Linked DNA regions of Kluyveromyces lactis. The protein of the gene in region 2 purifies or fractionates together with the protein of the main gene of each other region. This does not show direct contact. Links are inferred from orthologs where the notes say so. Each region holds a gene or a part of one and is shown on either strand. Other genes may lie near its edges.

Region 1 (6,533 bases), on a different chromosome or scaffold from region 2:
CCTTTATGCTTTGAATATCCTATTTGCGAAAATTCCTCAGTTGTTGAGACCTTTCATTCCTCAGTTGCAAAGAACGTTTGTCAAATCTTTGTCCGATCCAACTAATGAGGTATTACGTCTTCGTGCTGCCAAGGCATTAGGAACCTTAATTGAATACCAGCCTAGAGTTGATCCATTGGTTGTCGAACTGGTAACAGGTGCTAAGCAAAGTGATGATGATGGTGTTAAGACTGCTATGTTGAAGGCTTTATTGGAAGCCGTATCAAAGGCAGGTTCCAAATTGAACCAAACCTCAAAAACCAATATCTTAAATTTGATCGAAGAAGAAATGTTATCTGCAAATGATAAGCTCGCAGTGGCCTACGCGAAATTAATCGGATCCTTATCAAGTATCTTATCAACCGAGGAAGCTGCAACAATATTGAAAAGCAAGGTGTTAGAAAGCTCCTTGACTGAAGATTCTGGTAAATTCGGTATTTTGACCCTAAACTCATTCTTGAAAGATGCTCCATCACATGTTTTTGGCACTGGACTAATTGATGAATGTGTTAACTACATAATTGATGCAACAAACTCATCAAATGCTTACTTCAGTGATAATGGATTACTCGCAATTGGTAAGACTCTATTATTAGAAGGCGAAACAAGAACACCTTATTCCAAACTTGATGCTAGTGAACCTTTCCATCTTGGCACAGACAATATCAACAGCCTAGTTTCTCAACTTGCTAAGTGTATGTTGAAACCTAACAGTAATTCTCTAGACAGTAGAAGATTGGCTTTGGTCGTGGTAAGAACGCTTGCAAGATTTAAGTACGCTGAAACTATCGAAAACAACTACGATTTACTCGCTCCATCTGTTTTCTCGTGCTTGCGTGACACAGTGATCCCAATTAAGTTGGCTGCAGAAAAGGCATACTTAGCCATGTTCCATCTTGTTGAAGAAGAAAACTTGGAAACCTTCACTTCCTGGTTCTCGAAACTCGAAGGATCCACCATACAAAACAGTATTGGTGACACTTTGCAACTAAGATCCTTAGGAGATTACACCAAGAGAGTTGGTAAGAGACTAGCTGCTGTTGAAAGAGACAAGATTGCAGCCGGTGGAGATGCCGAGGCGATGTTCTCTGATAGATTTGAAGATGAAAATGAAATCTGGACCGTTGGTGGTGTTGAGCTAAACACTGATATTTAGAACAACAGCACAAACCCAACCTCTGTAATGACAAACATAATATTATACAGATTTATATATCTCACTGACTTGTAAGAGACACTTACAAAATTATTACTGCAAAGCAATCACGATTTACTAGATGTACTTTGAAATGGTGACTTAAACTTGTTCATGTGGAACCTGAAGTCTCTCTGAATCAATATAATCAATCAACCTCCATACCCATTGTTCTACTATCGAATACTTCTGCCACCAAAAGATACATACATCTTTGTTCGCTGGGCAGGTGGTTAATATCCGGAATAATAAAGGCAAAATTGGAGCCTTCATCAGTTTTAGAACCAGATTCACTAACAATAGCACAAAACACAGTTTTGTTATTGATTTAAGTGTCACTTTGTTAAAAAGGTACACCATGAATCATATACAAAATATTCGACAATAAGAAACTAGAACTATGGTATTTAATGTCTGTCGCGTCTGATGCGATAAATCACAAACAGGCACCGCTACTAGTTCCTACATTATCTCAATGTGATACGGTTTATTTAATGTTCTTTCATAATTTTTTTTTCTTTATTGTTACAGGCTATGGAAAATTACATACATTTCGTGAACGTGATATAATTAAGAAACTCATCGTCTAGAGGGGAAAGGAAGAACTAATCTTCTTTCCACCTCAGTCTCCTTGTCTATTTCCTCTTCACCGTCGAATCGTAGCTTACATGTCCCATCTCTTTTGCTTCCGCAAACAATAGCTGGATAGAAAGTCGTTGTTTCTGGATATCTTGCCAAAACTTTTGTATTCGCTGGATAATTCGGAGTCTGGGTTCTTTTCATAGTCACGGGCGGGATCAAGAGGATCTCTTTCGAGTTACATTTGAATATACCACCTGGTTTCCCAAATTCATCGGGTTCTGGATCTTTCACTTCAAACCGGAGTCCGTCCCCAGAAACTTTTGTGCATATGCACTGGATCCATTCGCCAGTCTTTTTAGATTTATATGCAACTTCGGAACCAACCTCAATTGGTTCACTTGGGTTGAATTGACTGGTCCAATGTGATCTACCAACAACACTCGATTCAGGGATATGCGTCGAACTGGATTCCTCCTTTAATATAGGTTCCTCTTCCACTGGATAATTATCTAATATGTATGAAATGTTCTCTACCAAATCTCTGCAGTAATTTCTCATCTTTTCATTTACAGACTGACGAGCCTCTAATTTCTCATGGATATCAGCCAATTGATTCAAATTCATATTCTGGAAATTCATATTCTTCGGATCTAAAGACTCAAACCCCGCAATATCTCCTATTTTATATAGATCTTGTAATTGAGTCACGGCAAGACCCCATCTATCTTCCGTTGCCATTTTCGCTAGAATCACTGATATATTTTGTTTTATTTTTTTTTTATCTATGGGCTGTCGGTTCTTAGTATTCCTATTTCAATTAGATAATATGGGCTTCACCAGCACGATAATTAATTTGGGAAACTTCTATAAATGGACGTCCTGTTTATTCAAACGTAAATCTGAAAGGTGAAGACTTCTTTTCGATGCAAGCAGTGTCGGTTTCTTGATGTTTTGTACTTAGAGAAATATGAGTTTTTCGTGCTGGAAGAGAACATCAAAACGTATATAGTGATGGTAGATCTTTAATTGGAACCTCAGTTTCGAATAACTTTGACGTGAATTAGACGTTTACTCCTTCTCAAGCATGAAAAATTCACTATGGTATCGAAAGAACTCTCAGCAATAGATGAAATTGGTAAAATGTATAAATCAATACTTTCAACTCTTAAACAGTCAGTTACACGAACCTTCGAAGGGCTATATCTTGTTGGATTTCGTTGTTACCCTACCTTACAATCCGCCATACTGTGGAAAATTTTTGTCACTAAAATCCTATCTTAAATACATTAAGTACAGATACACGCAGAAATACAGTTACTGTGACATTGCTTGATACTGTTCGGACCAGGCCTACGAAACAACGCATAATGTTCTCATCTTCGTGGCAACAAGTTCCCAAGTTTGTGGTGCAGCAGGTGCGTACTGCAACCAAGCGTGCAGCAGGTTCTCGTACCAGTATGAAGGACTCTGCTGGTCGTAGATTGGGTCCAAAAAAATACGAGGGTCAAGCCACTCAAGTTGGTGAGATCATCATGAGACAACGTGGTACCAAGTTTTATCCTGGTGAAAATGTAGGCATCGGTAAAGATCATACGCTTTTCGCTTTGGAGCCGGGTTATGTGAGATACTATTTGGATCCATTTCATCCAGGTAAGAAATTCATTGGTGTATCATTATACAAGGATGTAAAGCTTCCTTTGCCGCATTTCGAACCACGTTTGAGAAGATTCGGCAAGGCCATCATTGAGGATGAAGAGAAAGCCATTGCAGAAGAGAACGCTTTACCAAGAAAGATTTATTTGCTGAAGGATGAATTGATCAAGAAACAGCAAGAACGTGAGATTAAACGTGAAGAGTTGAAGGCAGAATACAGCAAGATAATTTCAGATCTGAAAGTTGAGCTGGATCAACAAGAACTTGCGTTTGCATTACCATATTTGCTCAGATGGAGAACTTGTTTGAAGAATGGGTTCAATGAATCCGATGCCCGATTTAATTCGTACTACTATTTGGAACAAGAACTTAAATTGAAGATGAGAAACCAAGAAAAATCTAAGTTGGACGACAAACTAACATTGTTGAAACAGGTCTCGACCAAATTGAATGAATCATTGTCATTTAACAACAAGCTTGAATTAACTAAATACATTTCTCCAGAAGAAAAGAATACTCTAAAGACACAACTAATTACTGATTTGAAGGCAATTGATATTAAGGACAAGAACAGTAAGAAGCAAGTACTAGCCAAGTTTACTGATGCAAAGAACTTCTTGACGTTATCTGAAGAGGTGAGACTACGCAGAAAATTCTTGAAGCCAGTGAAACCAGAAACAGAATTGAAGAAATTGGAAGAACCACTCAAACCTTCCAAGAAAAATCTAACCACCAGACGTTACAACTACGAACAAAACACGATAGATGTCATTACAAGACCAAAGACCGATTTCTTGAGCAAATTGTAAATCTTCCCCAAGTCGTTACGTAACAAACCATTTAGAGCCTTGTACATATTAACAAAAGAACCACAACAATCATCATAGTTTAAACTGAAAAAAACGAAAGTTTTTTAGAGACTATATATCATTTGGAAAGGTTAATTCCATATTATATCGTTAACGTATTTAATTTGTCTATATGTGTGAGACAAAATCCAAAACATACTCTTACATTACTATTTTTTTGATATTGGATTGTTTTGAGGTACAAAACTATGGCAGGTGAGCCCTTTGGATCAACCAGGAGGCAATTGAGAGATATCAACGATGTCATTCATCTTGCTTTGAGCATCATCTTCATCACCGACAGATAAATGGGTTCTTGGTAGAGCCATCATACCTGATCTTGCCACTTCCAAGATACCGAAAGGTTCCACAAGTTTCAAGAATGCAGAGATACGGGATGGTTTAGCACATAATTCCACAATACAACTTTGTTCAGCGATATCAACAATCTTACCACCAAAGTTACCAGTCAAGTTAGAGATGTCGTTTAAATGTTCATGCTTCAATCTCAATACTTGGGACAGTGGAAGGTTGGAAGGATGGAATTGCTGTTGTCTTATTCTTTCAACGGTATCAGTATTTTCATCTTGTTCATGGTGATGAATCAAATCCTCGAAGTATTCAGCACCCAACAAAGAGATTCTTGTCATCAACAATTCTCTTTCTATGATGGTGGAATGAGAGTAATCCAACACGACAAATACTGGTACCAAATCTTCGATTTGTCTTCTGGCTTGTTCGATGACACCGTCTTGACCTTGCAACACAATGGTCATACGGGATAAATCTTTCACTTCAGTGTTACAGACCACAAGGGAATCGATATTGAAGCCTCTTGCAGCTAGAGTACCTGAGACTAACGATAGAACACCTGGCTCGTTTTGAACCAAACAGTTCAAAACATGTTGTTTCTTTGGCTCCTTTGAGATTACTGGATTTTCATATAGGATCGATGAGATGGCACTGTTAGTAGACCAAGATGGAGTTTCGATCGTTGGTAAAGGAGGTCTTGCCTTATTTCTATGCAGTTGCTTATAAGCAAGAGCCGAAGTCGAAGAAGACTTTGCTCTGGCAAAGCTTCTCAATGCTAGAGGAACCACTCTAGTTTTTAGCATTGCTTAAAGAAGGTTTTCGACTGAGTTCGTTAACCTTTCAGTGGAACAGAGACGAAGTGTAACCAAGAAAGAATATACACAGTGGAAACAGATATAAAAACCCACTTATAACTTATATATATGGGGAAAGTAGAACAAAAGCAGATGAGAGAAGTGCTTCATAGAAGGATGGAACGGTGGATCAAAGGTTTGAATGGTGTAGCTGAGTCATATTGAGAGTGAAAAAAAAAAATTCTTTTTCCAATTCAGGTCATCGCGAACGAGCGAAACAGGGCCGAAACGGTATAAACTGGATTGATAAACTGGACACCTTTGTCCAGATGCTTACTCGTGATGTGGACCAACGGAGGTTAATTGATATTCTCTTAATTCTCCTGGCTACGGATGGGGTGTCAGTTCTATGGGGGAAGAAGATATATAAATATTGTTTTTAAGGCTATATATCTTATGGATATATAATGTAGCAGTAAATCGGATAGGGAAAGGCTAGCTTTCTTCTTCCTAGTTGAATGATGATTTAAATTCGGAGTCCAATCTCTTGTGAACAGCTTCAATGAACTCTTCGGTAGTGACGTATGAGGATCTGTCGGTCTTACCCAAGATCAATGCCAAATCTTTAGTCATAATTTCATCTTCTTGAACCGTGTTGACGGTAGCAGATTCCACCAATTCGGCGAATTTCACCACATCTGGGGTGCTATCCAACTTACCCCTTTGGATCAAGCCTCTGGTCCAAGCGAAAATCGAGGCGATCGAGTTTGTCGAGGTTTCTTTACCCTGTTGGTGTTGTCTGTAATGTCTAGTGACGGTACCATGAGCAGCTTCACTTTCGAAGGCCTTACCATCTGGAGTAATCAACACAGAAGTCATTAGACCAAGAGAACCGAACCCTTGAGCGACAATATCGGATTCCACATCACCATCGTAATTCTTCATTGCGATGATGTAGCCACCCTTCGATTTCAACATCTGAGCAACCATATCGTCGATCAAACGATGTTCGTACCAGATCCCCTTAGCTTCGAACGCCGATTTGTACTGACTTTCGTATAGCGATTCGAACACGTCCTTGAACTTACCGTCGTATTTCTTCAAGATGGT
Region 2 (5,586 bases):
GATAGTGATGACAGTTCATTCCACGCTTCTTCTGCATCAGCAGAAGACGAGGATGACGAGAATGACGAGGATGTTTCTGCAGAGGAAAAGGAAGAACTCAAATTGGAGGCTACTGAACATGCTGCTGCTTCTTCTTGTCAGTTCAAAGGAGTGTCTTCATCTTCAACTGCGGCTGCTTCTGAGAGCAAACCTGAAGAAGAGGAAAATGGCGAAGAAGAGGAAGAGGATGAAGAATTGAAGCACAAATCTCCACAACCTCTATCACCTACCCCTCCTACCACTCTTCAGGACAAGTCAAGCTTCTACCAATTTAACGAGTCGATTAATGACCATGGTTCTAATAAACCACAGAGGATAGTTAAGAATTGGGGCTCTAAGTTGACCCAGCTGAAACCAAGGGGTTTACTCAACCATGGTGTCACATGTTACACAAACGCTGCTGTGCAAGCCATGGTTCATATTCCAGCAATTCAACACTATTTATTTCAATTACTACGTGGAAATTTCAAGGACACCGTTAAGTCTAACTGTGTTTCCATGTTATTAGCGGAAACTACGATGAGAATGTGGTCTTCTGACTCAACTAAAAATACGTACATTAATCCTGATAAATTAATCAATGCGTTGGAAGACATTAACTGTATGATGAGCGCTTGGAACCAAGAGGACTCTCACGAATATTTTATGTCTTTAATGTCACGTTTACAAGAGGACTCGGTTCCTAAGGGCCATAAAATGACAGAATCCATCATTTACGATGTATTCGGTGGATTACTACAACAATCAGTTAAATGCAGTAACTGTGGTGAGATTTCAACCACTGAACAACCTATATACGATCTTTCATTGCATTTAAAGGGTAGAAAGACAACTGATCAAGATCAAAACTCTGTTGGTCAAGATAATTCAATTGATAACTCTGTTGATCAACAGCAATCTTCAAAGAGAAGGTTTTCAATTGAAAAATCTATTCGGGATTTCTTCAATCCTGAGTTAATCAAAAGAGTGGACAACAAAGAAGGGTATACATGTGAGAAATGTAAGAAAGTTACTAACGCGCTAAAGTCAAACAAGATTATTCGTGCTCCAGAGACTCTAGTGGTTCATTTAAAAAAGTTCAGATTTAATGGCACATCTTCATCCAAAATGAAGCAGGCCGTATCTTATCCAATGTTTTTAGATCTAACGGAATACTGCCATGAATCAATCAGCTCCTTACCCGTAAGATACCAACTAATTAGTGTCGTTGTGCATGAAGGGCGATCTTTATCTAGCGGTCATTATATCGCACATTGTAAGCAACCAGATGGAAGTTGGGCCACATATGACGACGAATACATCAATAAAATTTCAGAAAAACAGCTTTTGAAAGAGCCAAACGCGTACTTCTTAGTGTACACTAGACTTACACCAAAATCGGTCCCACTTTCCTCTCAATCTTCCAATAAATCTACTGATCTAGGTATTCCGCAATTGCAAAGACCTCCATCTTCACACTCATCATCGCAGAACAACTCTAAACGTAAGAATAAGAAAAAAAACAAGAAGAGAAGGATTTCCCCATAAGTTTGAATAACCCTTTCCTTAAACTACCGGCTTACAATACACTTGCATCCTTGTTCATTCTTTCTTTGTAAACAGTCATACATGCATCTACCTCACACTGACTTCAGTTCATCTTTTTTCACTTCGGTTTCAGTTCATTTGGATCATCATATACATCTTCATCTATAGTAGTTGATATATTATTATAATTTTATCTTTTCATTATTCTATTTTATGTACACGAAATGAGGTCTACAAATGCTAATAAACCAGTTGGAATGAAACTCTCCATCGAGACCTTCACTATTTCACAAATCGATGCTTTGATTAGTGAAAAAAAAGTCAGTTTATGGAACTACCTTAATACCCATACTCTTAGCAACACCGATAATAGACTTTACGATTCCTTCAAGTTCCAGAGCAGCGTGTCTTCCATCGGTCTTCTTGATCTTGGCGATCTCATATATATGTTTTAACGACAGTTCACCACATACATTATCAGGGTTACTGATATTTGGTTGTCCGTGTCCCTTCTCAAGACTTAATGCCTTCAATAAAAGATATCCAGTAGGAGGGCTTTTCATTTCAAACGAAAATGTTCTATCTGGTTTGATATTGATGAGTACTGGAATCGGAGTACCCGGTTGGAAGTTTGCTGTTCTGGCATTGAACTCTTTACAGAAATCAATAGCTTTAATACCTTTAGACCCTAAAGCTGGACCAACTGGAGGAGAAGGCGCAGCTTGACCTGCTCCGACAATAAGTTTGACTATCACGTTCTTAAGAACCTTCGACATGGTCCTGTTTGGCGCTTCCTGGACTTACTGTTTCGATATTTTGTTCGAGGCAATTGATCGGATTGAATGCACATCTTACTTTAAGCCATCGATTTTTACCAGCTTATAATCTGGCATATCTCCAAGAATTTTTTAGGCCAAAGAAAATTTTGAAGTTATTACCCGCACATTGTTTTCCATTATACACTTTCTAATAAGCACAATTCATTGTCTGCTAAATAGAACCATATGCTGCGATGTGTACCGACTTCATGCCAAAGGTTGCTAACGTTATAAAGCATTAATTTTATGAGAATGCCAAGAATTGTTCTTAAATATTTTATACATTTGTGTACTTTTACAGGAGAGATAATTTATAACGATTGCACAACAATTAGAAGTCTATGTCGTCTCAGAAGAGTTACTCTTATTTGATAAAACATGCTGTAGAACATACCTCAGCCGGATTGCTAGTTTTACTCTCTCTCTTAATTTATTTTGCCTTTTTTTTCTTTTCAAGACCAGCAATGTGGGCTTCGCTTTGATCAACTTGGGTATGTTTGTGGTCCATTCCAGGGTGCACGACGTAGTTACCTTGGTTGTCTACTTCAACGGTGCACATGTCAATGGATTGAATCCAAGGGTCATTTAATACTTCTTCAATATTGGCTCTACAAGCAGGAGCCAAGTCTACCATCCTACCGATAATGTGGTGGGTCTCTTCCGGTAAGGAATGAAGTAGTCTTTGAGGACCAATATTCGTGTTGTTTGGATCAGATGGGTTGTTCGATTTAGATGTGCTCTCAGCTGGCTCATCAGATTGGACGGCATTGTCATAACTTGGCGGTTTAGGTGTTTTTGTGACTAAAGCACTCAAGGAATCGCAGTCTCTTCCCGAACAGAAGAATTTGAAGGAATTATCCTTTAACTTAGGTATCTTCCATGGGAATTTCTTTAATACCATACATGCAAACAAAATGGCAACGGACCATATATCAACAGGTCTTGGGTCATACTTGGTAAATATACAAACTTCGGGAGCCAAATATGGATCACTTCCAACAATGCCACTTGACTCGATTAAAGTTTTTGAGTGGGGGTAGGAGAAGACTTCTGCAGCACCGAAGTCAATCAACTTCACTATACCCTGGTTGTTTATTACACAGTTGTCCAACTTCATATCACGATGCGCCAGACCAATACTGTGTAAATATTCTACACCGGTCAAGATTTGCTTGAAACAACAACAGATTTCTTCATACGACATCTTATTACTCATGACGATGGCGAAAAGGTCATAATCACAATACTCCATGACTTGGAAGATCCTGTTGTTTTCGTAAACAATTTCAATAGTGGATATGATGTTTGGATGACGTAAAGTTGTACCAATACAGTATTCAGAAGTAATTTTCTTCACATAATCACGCTTACTTTCGTGTTCAAACTTTGGTCTGAATTCTTTTACAGCAAAGACTTGGTTATCACTGATCCTTTTCATTAATCTAACGGAACCACCGGCACCGGCACCCAAATTTTCCCCAGTTTTAAGGTAACGTTTACTGAATGGTAATGCAGGTACATGCGAAGCAGCGTACACAACGTCATTGGATCCCAATGATCCAGGCGCAAATCCTGCACTTGCACCGCTTGCATTTGAAAAGTTAGCACTGATTGGTGGAGACTCACTGTATGAAGCGGAGGAGTTACCGTGTTTTTTAAAGAATCTCTTCAAATCAGCAACGGAGCTGTGACGAGATTTTGGAGTATATTGATTCTGAGAGAGGTTTTCATGCAATGATTGCGGAGACCCCAAAACATGCTCATTATATGAGGCAGTAGGTTGTCTTGATGAATTGTAAATGGACGATGCTCTAGCCCTAATGGGTTTTGGAATGGATGAACCATGGCTCGTCGAGGAGGAAGGGATTGCACTGCTGTTGTTGTTATTGTTGGAATTCGTGTTACTATTGGAGTTGGAGTTGTTGTAGTAGTTATTGGTCTGAGAGACGCCAGCGCCATACGAAGAGGCTACTAAACTCGGTTCATTATCCTTGTTTTTCGAAAAGAAAAAACTTCCTAGCTGTGAGGATAACGAACTCGATCTTGACACTGGCTTACCGGTGTCATGATTCATATTTGATTTCTGTTGTAGTTTCTGTTTTGAAATGACAAATCTGGGCTCCACAGATTCAACTTTTGGCGAAGAGATCACGTTTGAGTCGATGGCAGCTATATTACTGGGCAACGACCCATGCTTATCCAGCCACGAGGAAGATGCAGAGGATTCGGCACTATTAACAGTTGAGTCGTTTGTTGTATTGGAATTTGGTGCCGAGTATGGTATACTAGATGAAAGCGATGGTAAATTGTTCGAAATGACACTTGTCGAAGTGGTGTGTCTCCCAATACTTGTACCAAGTCTTCCTGGTACACCTCTTCCGTTGGTATCTTGTGGGAATTTCCCGCTTGAAATAAGGATGGAGCCCGAGCGAGATCTGTTTGGCACCGAAGAGCCGTACATGGTTGCAGTATGAGCTGAATTAGCATTGACAAAAGATTGAGAAAACTCATATGACGCTTCCAGAGATCCATCGTCATTTGAATCAACCTGTGTTACGGTTGTATCACTACCACCAGCACCATCCCTTATTTCCATCGGGCTGGATACCACGGTTCCGTTTGGATGTCCAGCATGAGACTGTGAATTGGAGTTTCTTGATTCTGCCAAGGAACCTTTCAAAGAACTCGTTAGAGCGGACTTTGACGAAGGTTCCTGATTTCTTTTTTCTTGTAACAGTTTAGTTAACGATGACATTGTTCCAATAACGTTGTGGTCTGGTTCTAATTATTTTGCTTTGTCGATATCGATATCAGAGCCTGATTAACTCTAATTATCGATTCTAAAAAACTGATATCCTCGTAAAAACACCGAGTAGCTACTTTATAATTCTATTCCTTTGTATACAACACAATATGAAGCAGGTCTATCAATCCCTTTCAGAAAGTTCTTCTGCAGTTTTGTTTTGTAATACCGAATTTATCCTGAGCAGTGGCACTAAAGGGGAACTCTATGTCTTTCTTTTCCGTACCGAAAACTCACCCTGTAGCAGAAACGTGCTAAACTGGAGAAATGAAGCGTGTTGTTGGAAGTAGAACTATTTACAGCCAACTGCTAAGCGAATAGGTAAGGGTAGGAATCTGAAAGAATTGGAGAAAACCTACTGTCTGGATGCTTGCGGTCTATTATGTTTTGTTTTAATAA
Region 3 (6,536 bases), about 400 kb from region 2:
TGATTGCTAGCTGGTATGGAGCATTAAATCCAACGGTCTGAAACTTTGTTTCGAAGGTTAATTTGCAATCTCTGAAAACACCACACCAAGAATCCCCTAAGTTTGACACGTTTAAAGTACCATCATCCTTTAGATGAGCCACTATAGCAGTGGTACCACCAACCTCTACCTTTTCTTCGTTAAGTAACGAGGAGAATGCCATTTGTAACAACTCTTTTGGGGCGATATCTTTGCTGGAATTTAAAGTTATGCTCTTCATTGCTAGACATAACTCACGGGAAATAGCTGTTGAATCATACCCATGATTTGCCCAGCCACCAATTCCATCAGCAACACCTGCGTAAAGCTCAGAACTAGATCTTGGTGCTACGAAATAACTGTCCTCTCCGGTAGGCGACTGCAGGCTTTCTTTTAGTTTTGCATAGATCGGTTCATTACGGTCTTTAGGTTGATATGCGATTGCTACTTGGTAATTGAAGGCATCAGATGAAGCAGAATATGAAGAAGATGAGGAGGAAGACCATGAATTTGAATTGTTGGAACCTGCCGAGGAACTGAAACTCCGTTGGCTCAATGTTTTATAGTCTAGATCGAACACTGTTAGTAAAACGTATAATGTGAAAGCGAATAGAACAGGTACCATACTTCTGAAAACTGTACGAGGAACATGTTGGCGGATTCCGATAAACATGGCGATTCACGGTGAGAAAACTGTTTCTGGTGACTGCGTTGGCGAGATGCTCGAGCTGTGTTTGAAGCGTTTCCTCAGTCAAATCGGTCTAAACTCCAAGATTTTAAGTTGATATTGAAAAATTCGTGAGAACCTTAATTGAGATAAGATGAGATATATTATCCGGAAAGAAGAAGGACTATCTACAGTCCATTGGATTAACTGCAACTAGCTCCCTCTAGTCTTGCGTTGAGTGAGTGAGGAGTCCGCACTTGCTACTTTCCAAGTGTATATCACGTGATTTACCGTTTGCACGCATAAGATGACCAGCGGCAACCTGAGTGAGTGATTAACACGGACATATATTTCCGGCCATTTCCATATGCAGCCCTAAGCTCTTGTTGGGAACCCAGTTATGGAAAGAATGTGTCACGTGATCCAACCTTGCTCCCTCTAGTATATGTAAATTAAGTCGACAGACAATAACATATTAACTCTTGTAGTTACTGCTCTACATTTACACCTCAACATCCAGGAATTACCCCATAAAACAGTGTTTAATCTCCCTCTCTCCGCCATTCCATTTAAAGGATGAGATGCTTGGATCTGGTTAAACTTTAAAGGGTTGTTGATGTCATTTTCCACGATAGCCAATAAAATTACATCGTTGACAGTGATTTACAAGCTTATTGCAACTGAAAAAAAATTATCAAACTCAGATCGCTCATTCCGTAGAGAGGAACAAGGTCTAAATGATGACATTAATCATTGCTAGTTAACTTGTGCTTATTCTTGGATTTTAAACATTTCTTTGGAAGTCTTGAAGCTAAAGGAAAAAAAAAACTAAACACAGTTATGTCTACTTTAAACGTTTTGAGATACTCTGCTTTAGCTCTAGGTGTTGTTGCCGGTTTCAAGACTGACTTGTCTTTGAAGTCAGAAGCTCAAAAGCAAGAAGAACAAAACCAATTGCACGCTCAATTGAAATTAGTGGAACAAGCCAAGGCAGAATACGCCAAGTTGCACCCACCAAAGAAGGAAATTAAGGCTGCTACTGCTGGTTCTTCTGCCAAGATTGATTTGGAGGACCCTAACTTGGATTATGCTTCGGTCATCTTGAGCGCTGTTGAATCCTTGAAGCAATAAGCAACAGGACTTATGAAATAAGGAGAGGTGTGTTTAATTCTTCTTTTTTCTCTTTTGTGTAACAAGGGAAAGGAACTTGTATGCATAACTCCGAGCTGAAGCATAATAGAAAAATAAAAGGTTGTATTCTCTGTTTGAATTCTGGTAGTCAACAAGAAATGATGACAACAAGAGTTATATCTGCTTTCCTCGACTAAGAACGAAAGACCTCACGAATCCTTTTTTTTGTTACGATTAGATTTACAGCCAATACAATAACATATGAAGAAGAAACAGCCAAAAAAAAAGAAGATTCTATATATAGCCTCTAGGAAAATATTCAATCAGAGGCAGTCCAAAAAAACAGACGCACATGAACGCACGCACCATACACCGTATTATTACTATATAATTTATTATGTTACCGGGAATAAATGTTAACTAATGATCATATTCTTAATAGATTCGAACAAGCTTTTTAGTTTTTTTTATGATTTGCGTATGTTGCATTGATTTTCTACATTGCATATTATTTACATGAGGTATGAGATATTATTCAGACCACCTGAGGTTGTTGAAAAGTGTGTAATCATATATATCGCGAGAGAGACGAGGAGGAAATAAACTCTTTCTGGAAACTTTCATTTTTTTTTTCATACAACAGATCTACGAACTCTATGGAACACTCTCCCTTCTGGTAATCCGTATTTCTCTCTAATGTTTGCCACGTTAGAATCCCATTCTGATCTCCAAACATGAGCACCAACCGGGTCCAAGTTGTGGGAACGAACAAATTCTCTAATATCGAAGTTTTCTCTATCGACTGGTTCAGGGGATTCCAAATCACCATTCTGTCTGAATACCCATACAGAGAACCTTTGCTTGCCAACATTTTTCTCAGGTACTGGAGGAATGTAATCTGCAAGAATCTGCGATTCATTGTATTTTCTTGGATCTACCACGTTGTCGTTATAGTCTATCTTTAAATTAGTCAAACCGAACGCCAAAGTCGTCTTGAATGTATCATTCAACACATCCGGTTCATCTGGATTCACAATTACCACAGTGTATTTTTGCTTTTCGAAGTCGATACCGTTCTCGTACTCTTGAATCTTAATTGTTGGAACCATCGAAGTCGTGTTGGAGGACAAAATTTCACCAGGTTCAACCCATTTGTTCACACCAGTACTGAATGGGAAACGTAAATTAACCTGTACTCTTGGTTGTAAAGTAGGTAACGTATCGGGGATTACACTCAAAGTCTCTAGTCTTTGCATTAACAACATTTTTTCGTAGGATTCCCAATGCTTCAGCCCCAAACGCCTGTACACTGGAACAGCATAATCTATCACTCTAGTATCGTTCTCTAACTTGTCATGATACTGAAAATTGTATTGGACCTCTGGGTTATGCAATTCAGCCTCTGTTTCTAACTTAGCACGTACCTTGGCATCAGTCTCATTTTCTAGTTGCGAATACTTCTCTTCAGCGCGCTTACTCATAAACTCATAACTCAAGCGGAACATCTCATCAATATGTTCAGGAGAGGTATACTTCAAACGGTTCATCCTCCGCTTCAAAGACGGTGGACCTCGTCTTCTAACGTCATCGCTGTCGCCTTGAAAGATGTATTTCTTAATCGATTCTGATGCTAAACCAAGCGACTTGGATCTCTTAGAAAAGTCCGACCATACCCCGGTTTTCTCTAAACATTTGGCACTGCTGTGCAACCCTCTACGCAACATTCTCCAATTCGAGTTGTTAGTCTCTGAAACACCCTCCAATGGGATCCTACAACTGATTATTCATGTATCTTCATTGTCCGTTCATACTTAAAACTCATCTGAATCGTTCGAAATCGATTTTTCACCAAAAAATTTTAATGTGTTTCAGTCCGGGTAACAGAAGATCGTGCCTCTCGCTCCAAGTGGAAGTTCAGAGATCAATAACTGGTAAGCTTTGCCTTTGAGACTGCCATTCGGTTTCATATGTTGCAAATGACGCTCTTCTGATCCAGCGAACCCATCATATCCATCTTTCTTTGTATATTTTCTTCTTCCCTTTCCTATATGCGGATTATAATGATCATTTATGTTTGAAACGACGAATCTTATATGAGAATGCTCATCGCGACATTGTTTCAGATCTGTAAAGACAAGATGCCTCAACTTTTTCCTGGTATAAAGACCCTTTGCCAATCAGCATTGTAGGTTTACTTCTCATTCCCTGTATTATCCTGTATAATATTCAAAAGCTTATTAAATCAAATATGAACGGTTCAGAACCGAATTCTACAGAGTTAAGGCACGATGTCGAGGCAGTTACCATACTAATATCTAAACTTCAAGTTTACTCGCAGTTTGATACACAAACTCCAACAGAGAGAGCTTTTCCCTCTATGTTCAGCTCCGATTCTGATATAAGCGACTCAATTGACTCTGATGTCGGAGATCAGCTAAAGAGACGGTCTTCTTCAATACTGCGCAAAATGTTTAATAGGTCAAAGAAACTACTGCCAAAACTACACAAGAGGTGAAACGTATGAGCAGTTGTGCTGCTGGATAATGGAGGAGCTTCTCTTTTCATACTACTCCGTCTTATATCAAAATTTCTACGCTCACTTCTGAGCTTTTCAGCAGGGAAGGTAGAAAAAAATTTTGACACATTGACGAAAACAGATTGATAACACTTAAGACCTTTGATAAAGCTTTGAATGACACCTACTCTTTGATTTCATATTGGATTTTTCACTATATAAGACAACTGGGGTGATATATCCAGAGAACCAATTAGGTATTGGAATAGTTTATACCTGATTCACTGAAAGATGGCTGACGTTAAGATTCAAACTCTACCAACCGACTTTAGGGCCAACCATTATGAGATTGAATTGAGTGAGTTAGATGCTGAGCACAATTCATTTATCGGATCCGTGCGTATTATTATGTCCACTGTTAATGCCAATGACATGATTTCATTGAATATGAGGGACATTGAGATCGTTTCTGCGGTGGTTGAACTGAAAGAGGGGTCTGTGTCTTTGGGAATGAAGGACCATAGTTTCGATTTAGAGAACGATGTTGTTTCCTTGAAATTTCCGGAGAGTATATCTGATGATGAATTCGTGTTGAAGATCGATTATAAGGGTATGATTCAGACTAATATGTCTGGATTCTACCGTTCAGATTATACTGATTTTGTTACCGGTGAAAATAAGGTAATGTTTTCCACTCAGTTCGAGGCAACGGATGCTCGCAGAGCATTCCCATGTTTCGATGAACCCTCTTTGAAGGCAACCTTTGACATATGCATTATCGCGCATGAGAAATACACTGTGTTAGCTAATATGCCTCTGAAGTGCACGAAGAAATTGACAGAATCAGACCAAATTTCTTATAGATTCCATACTACACCATTAATGTCTACTTATCTAGTGGCATGGGCCGTGGGAGAATACGACTACATTGAATCTGAGACCGAAAAGAGTATATATCCTACCATTGAGAACTACAATACACAGGATGGCACTTCTTCTGGTTGTGGTAAGCTACCGGTGAAAGTGTACACAGCCAAGGGAAAAGCTCAACAGGGGAAATTTGCACTTGATGTAGCCAAGAGAGTCATTGATTTCTTCTCTGAATCTTTTGAAATTCCATACCCATTGCCAAAATTAGATTTGCTATGTGTCGAGACTTATTCTCATAATGCCATGGAAAACTTTTCGTTGATCACCTTTAGACCGTCTGCGTTGTTGTACGACGGTAACTTAGATGAACCTGATGCTGCTGCTTTACAAAAGATCGCATATGTTGTATCGCATGAAATTGCCCATCAATGGTTTGGAAATCTTGTAACGATGAAGTGGTGGGATGAATTATGGTTAAATGAAGGTTTTGCTACCTGGATCGGATACTTGGCTGTTGAAAAATTCTTCCCAGATTGGGATGTCCCATCCATGATCATGTTGCAATCGCATGAAGTAGCTCTTGAATTGGACTCCTTGAAAGAATCACATCCTATAAAAGTAGCGGTTCGTAACGCTAAAGATATAGATCAGGTATTCGATTCCATCTCGTATTTGAAGGGTTGTTCTATTCTCGAAATGGTAAGCGGTTATTTAGGACAAGAACTCTTTTTGAAAGGTGTTGCTTTATACTTGAAGAGAAACAAGTTCTCAAACGCAACAATGGAAGATTTGTTCAACTGTATTGGTGAAGTCGCTGATATAGAAGTACTGGAACGTTGTAAGAACTGGATTTTGACTATTGGATACCCATTGGTCACTGTGACAGAGTCTGAAATTGGTTTGAGTTTGACCCAAAACAGGTTCTTATCCACTGGTACTTGCAAACCTGATGAAGATGTTACAAAGTGGTGGGTGCCTTTGATGCCACTCCAGGGTGATTACAAGGTGGACTTTTCAGGAAAGACCACAGAGTTACCAAAGACACAATTCAACCATTTCAATGCCAATTCATTTGGCTTTTACCGAGTCAAGTACGATTCTGATCATTTGTTTCAACAACAATTACAAAATTTGGATAAACTTTCATCAAGAGGCAAGATGGGCCTAATCTCTGATGTTGAAGTAACAGAATGTGTCAAAAATCTTCTAACCTTGATATCAAAGTTTACCAATCATCAGGATCCTAACGACTACTATGTATGGTCAATTATCTTCGATACGTTAAACAGGATGAAATCACTTTTATCCTCTGATAAAGCAGTGAAAAAGGCGTTG
Region 4 (6,016 bases), on a different chromosome or scaffold from region 2:
AAATTGGACTTGATACCAAAAGACTGATGGTGAATGTCGTGATACACTGCATTATTTGAAAACAACCACTGGAATGGGTCCAGGGGCAAAGCATATCCGCAATGATCGTCCACTGTTTTCAAAGTAGCAAAAGTGTATAGAACAACTTGTTCTGTATGATTTAATTGTGTCACGATTGCAGCAATGCCTGTACCCAAAGTGTCAAGGAGGAAACCTTCCACTGGGGAATTGTACAATGCACCGTACGCATAAGGAACATATAACCTATGATGACGTGAGTGGAATTTTTTGTAAAGTGTCTTATTCATATGCATCACCCTATGCAGCCAATACTGCCACGAATCTACGATACAAAACCCAATAAATATCCTTATCATAGACCATCCATAGCAATACATAAACTTGATGAAAACAGATGGTACGAAAAAGGGTAAAGATTGCCTCCATTTCCACATCTCATACTTCTCAAACCCTGAAGTCGGCACAGGATCCAAGTAGAGCATACCAAGTCCAGTAAATGTTTGAATGAAATGTTGTAATATCACCTCTTTTAAAACCTCTAATCTTGAGGCCTTATTCCGCTGTTGTACTTCCTCGCTTGGATGAATCCTGTACTGTTCGAAAACCTCATTGGTATCAATGTAATGGAAAAACATCGAATAAAGCCAATAAGCAACAACAGGTAGTGCTAAGGCAAGTTTCCCATCAGAAATCCAAGGCAAAATATCCTGTTTCTTCGTTATCACAGAAGCAGGTGGAGCTTTAGAATTCATAAACGACACATCCATAGCATCTTTCACCTGCAAATACAAGTGCTGCACTGCACTTTCAACAATATTTGCCATAGTTATAAAACCGATACAGCACACGCAAAATATTGTATCTCCTTATCCTCGAACTGTATCCGACAGAAAACAGCTCCTCTCAAGTATAAATGGACTTATAAGTTTTGTATGACACTGCAAATATCAGTTTGTGTATCTGATTTCGTATCTTGCTTCGTATTTTATATAGTTGCTGTCTCTCTTCAGTATGATCAAAAAAAAAGAAACAGTAACTCCAGAATAACTTTTTACCTAATCTCAAGCCTTACCCTTTCAATATTATTGCAGCCTTCTTCGCTTGGTATGCCAACATTAGCCTATACGCTTCGTATAAATACAACCACTGATCTTATAACGCAATACATTTATAACGCAATTCTGTATTCTCGACACCATGTTATGCTAGAAAAACTAAGAAAAACCCGAAGCCTCTAAGGGAAAACAGGATTGTCGTTAAAGAAACACCAGAGAAAACCAGAGAAACGGTGTTAAGGTTTCTCAAATTTGGTCATGTGACATTTTTTTTGCTTTTTCTTTGGTGTCCGGGTTCCTGCTTCTTCTTCCGTTAGGCGTTAATGCATGCATGAGACACATATGGTATGAAGCGGTAGAAAAGTAGAGGAAGTAATATGATGATTACAGAACCTTTGATATTTAGGTTACGTGATGATGGAAACAAGGGAGAAAACTGCTAGTAATCACCTTGTCAAATCAGTTAAACGCCGGTAGTGAGCTGAGGGTTTGTTTATATTATTTACAGAGTCGGATTGTCTGCGGGTTATATATGTACATGTAGTGATTTCTTAAAGACGTGACGAGTGAAGCAGTGAAAGATCTGAGCTCGGCTCAGCTTTTGCAACTGGAAATAGTTTGTATTTGCTTGTTTTCTTTTGTAACTCATAGAGAGATGTTTTGAGCAGCTGACTCCTGTTGTCTCACTCTTGCGAACTCTTCTTTGGCTCTTTCGCCTAGTTCTTTCAAAATTGCACTTTCCTCTCTGGAAACGTTCCCCAAACGTTCTAGTGTTGTGTGATTCAACTCTGGCAATACTGGGTTCCAGTATTTCTCTTTATCCCCCATTCTCCATTCGTCTTCCCAATGGACCTTAATGGACGATTGGACGTCTTTCAACTTTAGGAGACATTCTCGCAAATCGGCAACCGCTTCTTGAGAGTATGTTGGTCTGTATTGCGATGAGTACCATGTGTGGCCGGACTCATTCTTCTTTCTCATGTCTTTTGCCTGTTTACTGAATGTCACATCACGGAGATATCTTAATCTGCACAAATTCTGGTATACTTTTACACTCTTGTCGTAGTCTGGTAGATCAACAACAGCCATACATTTCCAAATATCACGTCTGGTGCTTGGTTTCTTATTCTCCCAGTTGGGTCTTTGGAAATTGGTATCAATTTGCTTCCAAGAAAAAGTCGGGAATTGAGAGTACAGCACTTGTCCACTCTCTAGGTTTCTGAATAAAAAGACTTGTGGTGCATACCCTGCTTTCTGTAGCCAGTTGGCTGGACGGAACTTGGTAATAGCTAAATGCTTGCTCATCTCTTCCTAGTGCCCTATGGTGTCTTCAAGCCTTATTTGTTAACAACAAAAGCCTTGATCCTCAGAGTTCTCTTCTATCTCCAGTGCTATTGATGGACTTCTGAAGAGTTATTTAAATACAATGTGTGCACAAATGTGGTGATCTCTTCTGTAATCAAGCTAAACTAACTATCAGCTTTCTCTTTTTCAAAATTTTTCAGCTTTTTCAGATGCCATAAACAACTTCGTAGAAACACTGAAAATTAAAGAGAATGAACCTAATATATACATTACCCGGATCTTGTGATGATATTGAATTCTCCGCTACCTGCTCTATCTTATCTTGGATCTCATCTCCAGAGAAAGGTTTTCCTATCAGCAGACACGCACAGTAGAGTTATCACCTTCATCCGTCAAGTGTCCGCATATTCCACCATCTAGAACTTGATGTTTGAATTGAATTATGGAGCCGTTCCTACGTCCCGGACAGATTGCTTAGCTAGAGTTCTCGATTGTGGAGATGATAACCGTGGATCGATAAGTGCCATTTGTGAGCCGGACTTGACAATTGACGGGAATTCAAGCCTAGCAAGCAGTGAGAATTATACCAATTGTAAAATCTGTGGAGGGTTTGCGAATTTTTTATGTTCAAGAGATTCACGAGCTGGGTGGTTTTGTTCTTTTTGTAATGCTTATAATGAACTAGGGAATATTCCATTATCATCGTCATACCTAAAACATTTAGGAACTGCTGCTGTGCCTACGCATTCCAAGTTCGCCATAATCATCGATCTTAATTGTGAATTTGAGGAAAATCTAGACGCGTTGAAGATGTTACAATTTGGTTCTGTCCAGTCATTGGCCCTGATCACGATTGAAGATGGGTCTGTCACTATTCATACTGACGGGTCACACATTACCGTAGATGCAGAATCTAGTAGTTGTATCAGCCATCTTAAGAAGCTTGACACAGAATGGTTCATTGCAAAGTATGGGCTTTTAGTGAGGAAGATTTGGACGGACCAAATATCTTTCGGTGCTAAACTCGCGGAACTTCTATGTCAACGGACTAGGTCAAAAAAAAGATGTAGAAGAAACACTGCACTCGCTATTTTTCTAGCACAATGTCTAAACCCATCACAATCCATTGCATTTGTTTTCGGACCCTGTACAGTAGCACCAGGTAAGGTTATCTCAATGGACCGAAAAAATCATATCAGGCAGCATAGAAATATAGAGGAAGACAAGGATGTGAAATATTGGAAACCTTCTAGAGAATTTTACAATAAAATGAGTAAGTCCTTAAAGTTTGCTCCATGCACGGTATTCGTCGCATCCATGGATCAGGTCGGAATATGGGAGATGAGATCCTGTTTGAACAACTTTATTCAATACGAATCCTTCAATGATAGAAATTTCATATATGATTGGCAGGCGTATATTCAAGGGAAAGGATGTTATGAAATAACCAGAATTGTTATCAAAACTTCTAACAAGCTATTACTGAATGGGATCTTTGGTCCAGTCTCATCCTTGAAAGACAAGGACACACATGTATCTGACACTCCAAAGGGCTTTGGAGGGTCTGGAACCTTCCGTTACAAAGGGCCAAGTAGTAATCTACCATCAATTTTGATAAGTTTATCTGTTGATACATCTCGCAGCGCTGCTGAAGCCTTGCAAGAAATGCCAGATAAATTTTCCTTTCAAATGGAATGCTACTATAAACACTTGAATCAAGAATACGTTTCTGTAGAAACGAAATTTATTCCCAGTACAACCTTACCAGGTGAACATCTTTTAACCCAAAATTTCCACTGGGATATAATGGCTGGATCCATAATGAAAAAAATATCTTTCGCTGTCTTGTTTCAAGGCAAGTTTTATGATTACGATCTAAGGTGGTGGACGTTAGAAATAGTAAAACTTCTTAAATCATTGAATGCCATCGATGTTCCTGGCATTAAATCCTTACAAGAAGTAACGTACTTTATGCAAAGATCAACTCTCTTAAGGAAGAGAAATACATCGCCTGACGAGTGGATCGTCTACCATTGGACAATTCTGAATTCCCCTTTAAGTCATATATTCAAGATGGTTAGACCCCAAGTGTATTCGACCACAGGGCTTATTCAAAATACAACTGACATCCTTAATTATGCCGAACCTTTATTGGTAGATGGTGGTAACGTCCTTGTGGTACGAGATACTTCAGTAGGAGATAGCAGAGTTGACAGTTTGAAGGCAGCTGCTGATACCATATACCACGATGGAAGTCGATTTCCAAAGCCTTGGTATCGAGAAACCAAGCCAGGTGCTAGTCAGGATAGATTTGTAATTGCACGACTAGGCTTAACTGCAGAACATTCTTTGCATTCTGATGACCTCACGCTTGATAAATACATGGCACTGTTTAAATCAAAAAGTACTGCATGAAAAGTATGTAATCATTCATTTTACCTCTCAACAGATATCATGAACTCTATATATATATAACCAAAACCAAAAGGTTAGAATAGTTCCCCATTTACTGTCGCAACCTTCGAATCTATCGCTCCCCCTTTGAATAACAATTGTATGGCAGGAAAAGATACTATGTACGTATTCCTTGGTTTCTCCATCTGTCGCTTTTCAAAAATGACATATTTCATTTTTTAAAAGATACTATATAATTAAATCTAACCATTCTTTCCGAATAGCACATTAAAAGCCAGAGTCCAGAGGAAAAGAAAGAGAAACTGCAAGCGCGAGCCATTGGGTCGTTTCATTAGGGAAAGAAAGATGAACTCCACTTCCAACCGGACTCAGGTATTTTATATACCTGTTGGCCTAACTCAAGTTCAGAAAGATTTGTTGGAAATTTTAATCTCGATACATGCAGAGTCGTTTGTCTCATGTGTAGATAAACGTCTACTGCCAGAACTACAATCTAAATTAGAAAAAAAAGGGACAAATCTCAAAAGAGACTTGAGTATGACTGCATTAACAGATGTTCAGTTAACTGAATGGTTCTTCGAAAATATAAGAGCTGTCTCGAATCACCCTTGCCTGTTAGTTGAGCATTATATGCCTAGACAGTTTTTGTTAATGGAACCAACTGAAAGGTTGATATACACCAGCGATAAATTTGGCAAGTTAAATCTAATGGTTGATCTTTTATTGAATCGTAAGGACAAATCGAGGCCATTGCAAGTTGCTATCATTTCACATTCTGTGAAAGAATTGGATTTGATTGAAGGCGTCATGTTGGGAAAAGTTGCAAAGTTGAAGAGGTTATCTGGAACTTCTTTGTTTGACGAAAAACATGAATATGACGATCAAACTTCTGGTTCAAGAACAACCAATGGTGAAAATTCATCAAGTTCTGGTAGCGTAGCTCCTGAGCAAATCGGAAAATCGAAAGATGAATACAACTACTCTAAGTCAAGACGTAAGAATAACATATCTCAACTTGACTGGTTGTTTTTGGCAACAACCACACATTTGACACACTCTGAAGATTTACTTTCTAGGTACAATCTGGATCTTATCATCAGTTTTGATCCAATGCTGGACGAATCGTTACCATCGATATTCAAAGTCAGGAAAAATGGCAGAAAAACTCCTCTGTTTAAGCTATTGGTCCAAGATTCTCCGGATCACTATTTGTTATCCAA
Region 5 (6,183 bases), on a different chromosome or scaffold from region 2:
CAATCATTTTGCAAACTTCCAACGGTGGTGCTGCTTACTTTGCTGGTAAGGGTGTTTCCAACGAAGGCCAAAATGCTTCTATCAGAGGTTCTATCGCTGCTGCTCACTACATCAGATCCATTGCTCCAGCTTACGGTATCCCAGTTGTTCTACACACCGATCATTGTGCTAAGAAGTTGCTACCATGGTTCGATGGTATGCTAAAGGCTGACGAAGAATACTTCGCTAAGCACGGTGAACCATTGTTCTCCTCCCACATGTTGGATTTGTCCGAAGAAACTGATGAGGAAAACATTGGTCTATGTGTCAAATACTTCACCAGAATGGCCAAGATCCACCAATGGTTGGAAATGGAAATCGGTATCACCGGTGGTGAAGAAGATGGTGTCAACAACGAAGGTACTTCTAACGACAAACTTTACACCACTCCAGAAACTGTTTTCTCTGTCCACGAAGCTTTGTCCAAGATCTCTCCAAACTTCTCCATTGCCAGTGCCTTCGGTAACGTCCACGGTGTTTACAAGATCGCCGCTGCCCTAAAACCAGAATTGTTGGGTACTTTCCAAGACTACGCTGCTAAGCAATTAAACAAGAAGGCAGAAGACAAGCCATTGTACTTGGTCTTCCACGGTGGTTCCGGTTCCTCCACCAAGGACTTCCATACTGCCATCGATTTCGGTGTCGTAAAGGTCAACTTGGATACTGACTGTCAATTCGCTTACTTGTCCGGTATCAGAGACTACGTCTTGAACAAGAAGGACTACTTGATGACCCCAGTCGGTAACCCAACCGGTGAAGACTCTCCAAACAAGAAGTACTACGACCCAAGAGTCTGGGTTAGAGAAGGTGAAAAGACCATGAGCAAGAGAATCACTCAAGCTTTGGAAATCTTCCGTACTAAGGGTGCTTTGGAATAAAGTTCTTTTGTTTAGTACCATTATCCCAAACAATTTAACTTATAATTTTCTATATACAATTTAAATACCAGAACGCATGAAATGATCAAATGAAGACATCTGAACCATTAGTTACAAAATGATTGGCAGGGATCCGCTGTGCATCGGATACGTTCACCAGTGTTATCCTTGGACGCTACCGAGGACTTACCTGTTATCGAACTGCATTTGTCTTTTTCTCTCACGTGATCGACTTTGTCTCATAGTCCAGTTTGGCTTAAATATGAAAGCAGAGTTAAAAAACATAGGAACAGTTACAATCAAACAAAGTCACGTTCATAGTCCCTTAACACAATTACAACTCCAGAAACAAATACAAGAAACAGGGAGGACTCAAAGCGATGGATTTTTACTCCAATCTCCCGGTGAATTTACAACAACCGACTTTATTCGAAATACTCTCTGTCAATGAAGTGAAGAAGTTAATCAAACCAACTTTAAGGTATATTTTCTCCATTTATCTCCAATATAGAGGACCAACACGATGGCTGTTGAAGATTTTTAATAAATTTGACTTCATAATCTTGGTGATTAAATCTTTGGTTGAATACAGACATTATAAAACAACAGGTGCCACAATTCTTGACAAGTTCTATGGATTGAAAAGGTTTTCTAGATTCCCTAAATTAACCTTTCTAGGAATTTGGTTGAATGACTGTTTATTCGAATACGTTAGTGATATCTGTGAACAATACCATGAGCTCTTGCAGTCCAGAAAATTGACGAGCCCAGAATTGAGCTCATGGCAACAATGGTTTGATGCCTATTATCCTAAGCTACAGAAGACTATCAAAGTGATAAATTTCTGTTTCAAATTAAAGTACTTGCGTCATTCAAAAGACACTGATATGATCCATTTCATAACACAAATAAGATACCAACGATACCAAGAACCCGAAGAAGGAATTGCAAGTAGGAAAAATACTTTAACTCTTTCTGAACGTCGTCGTAAAAGAACTAATTTACCCAGAATATTAGCTATGACCAAGGATGCAGTGGAGAGCACATCGACCATGTTCTTGGACAAGTTATTCCCGAGCTTCCTAGTGATGATCAGAATTTTACAAATTATCAATCAGCGGCCTGAATTATTCAAGAAAGAGATACGAGTAAAGAGACCAAAACCTCCAGTACTACCTGGCGTAGCATCAGAGGTGGATAACAATGATACGACTGACGTATGTCCCCTATGCGGCGAAGAAATAACAGAACCTGCCATGATTTCATCTGGATATGTCGCTAATTTAGAGTGTGCCAAGAAATGGGTAAGCACAGAAAATACATGTTTCGCGACTGGTGTGCCCATAGATAAACGCATCCGTAAGTTATTAATATAGTTTTGCATTAATTTAGTAAATGAATAATGAGAATAATTGAGCCAGTAGCATTAGAATAATTCTGCATTGGTTTCCATTTGATTGAACATCGTTTGCATCATCATTATATCAGATTCCAGCCTAGAGATTTCTGAATCTAAGTCTGGAGCCGATGTTCTACTGTATCTTAGCTTTAATAACCAAATTTCTTTCAAGATTTCATCGCTTGGTCTATCATTATCTTCAAGATATTGAATCATCCTATCCAAATGATCTTTTAAATCACGTTTTAATAGTTTTAAATCGGAATGATCATCCTGAATTTCTACTCCACAGTTGATTAGCTTATAAGGATATCGTACACTCTCATGCCATTGTATCAAATTGCTAGTTTCAGGGAAGTAATGGAACTTGGATTTAATAATGTATTGTTTCGAATTCAACGACTGTAACATGTCATCGTAATCGTAAATGTCCGGGTCAACCATTAGGATTCCAATTGGATCAGAGGATTTCCAGCTGAAAAGGCTGAGCTTCGTATCAACGTTTCCAACTCCATCACACAGAAAACACTGTGATGCTATTTCATTTTCCAATACAAGGATAAATAGTAACGGACCTCCTTTACTTTCAATGATCGTCGAATTAACTTGCAGCAGAACTTCCTCCTTCAAATCCATATCTTGATCAAATAATGCAGAACAGGATCTAGCTATAAATAAGGCAAGGCCTCAAGACACAACTAAGTTTCGTACAACCTCCTTTTTTATTTCGTTCGAGTACAACAGTGTATGAATTACTATTATGTATTTGTATATTATATTTACAGGGAAAGAAATCTTTAAAAGTTGATCTCAACTGAAAAGGATTATGTGGAAAACATACATTGCTGATGCGGCCTGTCTATACTAACACTTCGCCTTGGTCAATAACGACATTCTGTTGGCCATGCACTGGTTCGTAACAGTACCATTTCAACAAAGCGTCTGTAGCGGCTCTGGCTTTAGCTTCTTTCAAAGATGAACCGTAACCCTCGCCTAATTTCTCTTCACCACTGAAAACGCCAACGATGAACAAGGGTGATTTAGACAATCTACCGTTTTCTGCAAGTAGTTTCGATACCGGTCTTTCCAATCCTTGGCGACGGCACAAAGCTGCCAGTTCTCTGGTTGGTTGTTCGAACGCGAACAAATCTTTAACGTCCAGCTTTCTGGACAAAATATGATCTGCGATAAACTTATGTGTCTGGTTGAAATCTTTGTCGACACTGTATACAGCGGCGAATATACTCCTTACGGCAACTGCCATAGCATTGTTCTCAGTGAAGTTATGCAATTCATCTACGGAATTTTGGAAATAACGTAGTTTACCCAATGTAATGGTAACATTTTCTTTCTTTGCATATCTATCCACTACACTTTGAGTTTCCGGTTCTATACCCCAGGAACGACCGACATTGCTCAAAACATGGTCGTTAATATATGCATCCACAGCAGCATTCAAAACCACACCCGGTAGCCTAGGATATTTTTTCATTAGCTCGGATGTAACTGCCAAAGTTAAAAGACTCTTACCAAAAATGTTCAAACTGACATTGTCATAGTTCACTTCCCCACTAGAACGACACGTCAAACATCTGGACAAAAGAGAATAGGATAAGCCTTGAGGCAATCTTAATCTGGAATGGAGTGCAACTAAATTGGGGCTTGTTAGTTCATGTGCAGGGTTCTTTAACAGTGTACTGATGGTATTCTTATATTCTTTCAATGATGACAGTTCTGATTGGTACAACCTGGCACAAGAAGCAAATCCTCGCACTCGCACAGGGTTCAATAGCTTCAAAACAGACATCCTTCTTTAACCCCCCTCGATGGTGATGTTGATTGCTGTATATATCAATGGCAAACCTCACCAATAGCTCACTGCATCACTCAACTTCTTTCCATCCTCTCTCTGTAACTCTTTCACTAAAATTTTTTTTCAATATTTCGATACTGAGATCTGCAATTACCCGGATATAGTAGACTGTTGATGTTTTCCGAGTAGTCACGTGATAATAATATGTTTTCACAGACATCTCATTATTCCAGATTCTTTCTGATACGGCGCACTTATGCTATGGATTGTCGATGAATCGGTAGCTAAACATATTTACAGACTATTCTAAACTACCATAAATTGCAGTTGGAATCGTAATGGTAGTCTACAAGGATCCCACTCTCATTTGGTTCAATTTTTCGCAAAAAGTGATGTTCAGCCCAATGTTGCGACGGTTTTATAGTGTTCCAGCGACATTTTTCCATCCTACAGTGTATGCATTATCAACGCCATCAAATCAGCACTCTGCAATAGCTATAATTAGGATATCGGGTACACATTCAAAGTATATCTTAAAAAAATTGTCGCCAAAAAAACCGCTACGGCAGAGGAAACCGATGATTCGGTCATTATATGATCCCAAGGCATCAACTCTGATAGATGAAGCGTTAGTCTTGTACTTCCCACAACCACGGACCTTTACAGGTGAAGATTTAGTGGAATTGCATCTACATGGGGGGAAAGCTATTATAAAGGCAGCGTTAAACTCAATCCAGGGTTTGCGGGACTCTGAAAGAGATATTCGTATGGCGATGCCGGGAGAATTCAGTCGACGAGCTTTCCAGAATGGGAAAATGGATTTGTTGAAGCTTGAAAGTATCAACAATATGATTCATTCAGATACAGAATTACAGCGATTGTCTGCATTGCATGGCAATCAGACCGTAGACATTTTCCATGAATGGCGACAAGAGATTATAGAGCAGATCGCTAAACTAACTGCAATTATTGATTTTGGTGAAGATATCGAAACGGAAGATATCGATTCTATAGTGAATGGTGCCAATGATAAACTTTTACAACTATACAAAAAAGTGACTCGATTCATGGTGAAATTAGATAGAATGGCTGTCTTGAACGATGGGATAAAGTTAACATTGTTGGGTGAACCAAATTCCGGGAAGTCATCATTAGTTAACGAAATATCTCAAGACGACGTTGCGATTGTCAGTGATATACCGGGCACCACAAGAGACTCTATCGATGTAATGATGGACATTAACGGTTTTAAATGTATCTTGACTGACACGGCAGGGATCAGACAGGGAACTTCAGATTCTATTGAGATCAAAGGTATTGACAGATCCAAAAAGAAAAGTTTACAAAGTGACTTAGTGGTATTGGTCATTGATGTATCTAACCCAAATATAAGTAAACATTTTGAAGAATTTATCAAGGATAACTTATCTGATAAACCTTTAATTGTCGTGTTGAATAAATCGGATTTAGCTACTGAAACCCAGTTAAAATACTTAATTGAAAAGTTCGATGCAGAATTTAAAGCCCTGAAAATTCATACAGTCTCTTGCTTAACCAAAATTGGATTGGAACCATTAGTTAAGACCTTGACATTAAGTTTCAGAAGAATCTCGGCAACTGAGAATGAAGATCCAGTCACCGTGTCCAATAGAGTCAAAGAAATTTTAAGCACTGATATTCTATTCGGCCTAGATCAGTTCTTCCAGCACAAGAATGACGATATATTAATAGCTTGCGAATCACTTAGAATAGCTTCCGATGGAATTGGGAAGATAACTGGTGATAACGTTGACTTGGAAGAGGTTTTAGACGTTGTCTTTTCGAAGTTTTGTATCGGCAAGTAATTGTAAATAGTTTTCCCATTCATCTGCCAATTCTTCCAATTCTTGCACTTGCTTTTCTAGTTTATTCAATCTGCCAGAAAGCCGTTGTTTCTCATCGACCCAATCACTAATGCCGTCATCTTTCTTGATTTTACTCTGTAAATATTCTAGTTTACCATAATTTTGTTCAGTCTCTTGCTCAAAACTCGACACTCCAGTTGCAGTTACGAA

The links.
Region 1: the proteins of MRPL19 (region 2) and MRP7 purify together in Saccharomyces cerevisiae (affinity purification with mass spectrometry; 3 studies listed by BioGRID). This does not show direct contact. The link is inferred for Kluyveromyces lactis from reciprocal best matches to the Saccharomyces cerevisiae genes MRPL19 and MRP7.
Region 3: the proteins of MRPL19 (region 2) and MRPL35 purify together in Saccharomyces cerevisiae (affinity purification with mass spectrometry; 3 studies listed by BioGRID). This does not show direct contact. The link is inferred for Kluyveromyces lactis from reciprocal best matches to the Saccharomyces cerevisiae genes MRPL19 and MRPL35.
Region 4: the proteins of MRPL19 (region 2) and MHR1 purify together in Saccharomyces cerevisiae (affinity purification with mass spectrometry; 3 studies listed by BioGRID). This does not show direct contact. The link is inferred for Kluyveromyces lactis from reciprocal best matches to the Saccharomyces cerevisiae genes MRPL19 and MHR1.
Region 5: the proteins of MRPL19 (region 2) and MRPL3 purify together in Saccharomyces cerevisiae (affinity purification with mass spectrometry; 3 studies listed by BioGRID). This does not show direct contact. The link is inferred for Kluyveromyces lactis from reciprocal best matches to the Saccharomyces cerevisiae genes MRPL19 and MRPL3.

Annotation. Positions count from the first base shown.
Region 1 is NC_006042.1:1,138,256-1,144,788, reverse strand, and holds MRP7 (mitochondrial 54S ribosomal protein bL27m), read left to right. Parts: upstream 1-3,183; coding exon 3,184-4,278; downstream 4,279-6,533. Other genes in the region: GCN1 (Gcn1p), read left to right, coding at 1-1,195; SGF29 (Sgf29p), read right to left, coding at 1,814-2,554; ILV6 (acetolactate synthase regulatory subunit), read right to left, coding at 4,548-5,432; isocitrate dehydrogenase (NADP(+)) IDP3, read right to left, coding at 5,934-6,533. UniProt on the Saccharomyces cerevisiae protein: Component of the mitochondrial ribosome (mitoribosome), a dedicated translation machinery responsible for the synthesis of mitochondrial genome-encoded proteins, including at least some of the essential transmembrane subunits of the mitochondrial respiratory chain.
Region 2 is NC_006040.1:714,026-719,611, reverse strand, and holds MRPL19 (mitochondrial 54S ribosomal protein uL11m), read right to left. Parts: upstream 2,343-5,586; coding exon 1,893-2,342; downstream 1-1,892. Other genes in the region: ubiquitin-specific protease UBP10, read left to right, coding at 1-1,566; serine/threonine protein kinase NPR1, read right to left, coding at 2,815-5,139.
Region 3 is NC_006040.1:1,117,949-1,124,484, reverse strand, and holds MRPL35 (mitochondrial 54S ribosomal protein mL38), read right to left. Parts: upstream 3,541-6,536; coding exon 2,449-3,540; downstream 1-2,448. Other genes in the region: type 2C protein phosphatase PTC7, read right to left, coding at 1-691; TIM11 (F1F0 ATP synthase subunit e), read left to right, coding at 1,526-1,816; KLLA0_D13079g (uncharacterized protein), read left to right, coding at 4,065-4,331; KLLA0_D13068g (M1 family metallopeptidase), read left to right, coding at 4,623-6,536. UniProt on the Saccharomyces cerevisiae protein: Component of the mitochondrial ribosome (mitoribosome), a dedicated translation machinery responsible for the synthesis of mitochondrial genome-encoded proteins, including at least some of the essential transmembrane subunits of the mitochondrial respiratory chain.
Region 4 is NC_006039.1:892,215-898,230, forward strand, and holds MHR1 (mitochondrial 54S ribosomal protein mL67), read right to left. Parts: upstream 2,382-6,016; coding exon 1,722-2,381; downstream 1-1,721. Other genes in the region: SUR2 (sphingosine hydroxylase), read right to left, coding at 1-845; GTPase-activating protein NEL1, read left to right, coding at 2,808-4,796; HDA2 (Hda2p), read left to right, coding at 5,142-6,016. UniProt on the Saccharomyces cerevisiae protein: Component of the mitochondrial ribosome (mitoribosome), a dedicated translation machinery responsible for the synthesis of mitochondrial genome-encoded proteins, including at least some of the essential transmembrane subunits of the mitochondrial respiratory chain.
Region 5 is NC_006041.1:684,267-690,449, forward strand, and holds MRPL3 (mitochondrial 54S ribosomal protein mL44), read right to left. Parts: upstream 4,124-6,183; coding exon 3,176-4,123; downstream 1-3,175. Other genes in the region: fructose-bisphosphate aldolase FBA1, read left to right, coding at 1-917; PEX12 (ubiquitin-protein ligase peroxin 12), read left to right, coding at 1,298-2,293; KLLA0_E07613g (uncharacterized protein), read right to left, coding at 2,344-2,952; MSS1 (Mss1p), read left to right, coding at 4,468-5,973; KLLA0_E07679g (uncharacterized protein), read right to left, coding at 5,935-6,183. UniProt on the Saccharomyces cerevisiae protein: Component of the mitochondrial ribosome (mitoribosome), a dedicated translation machinery responsible for the synthesis of mitochondrial genome-encoded proteins, including at least some of the essential transmembrane subunits of the mitochondrial respiratory chain.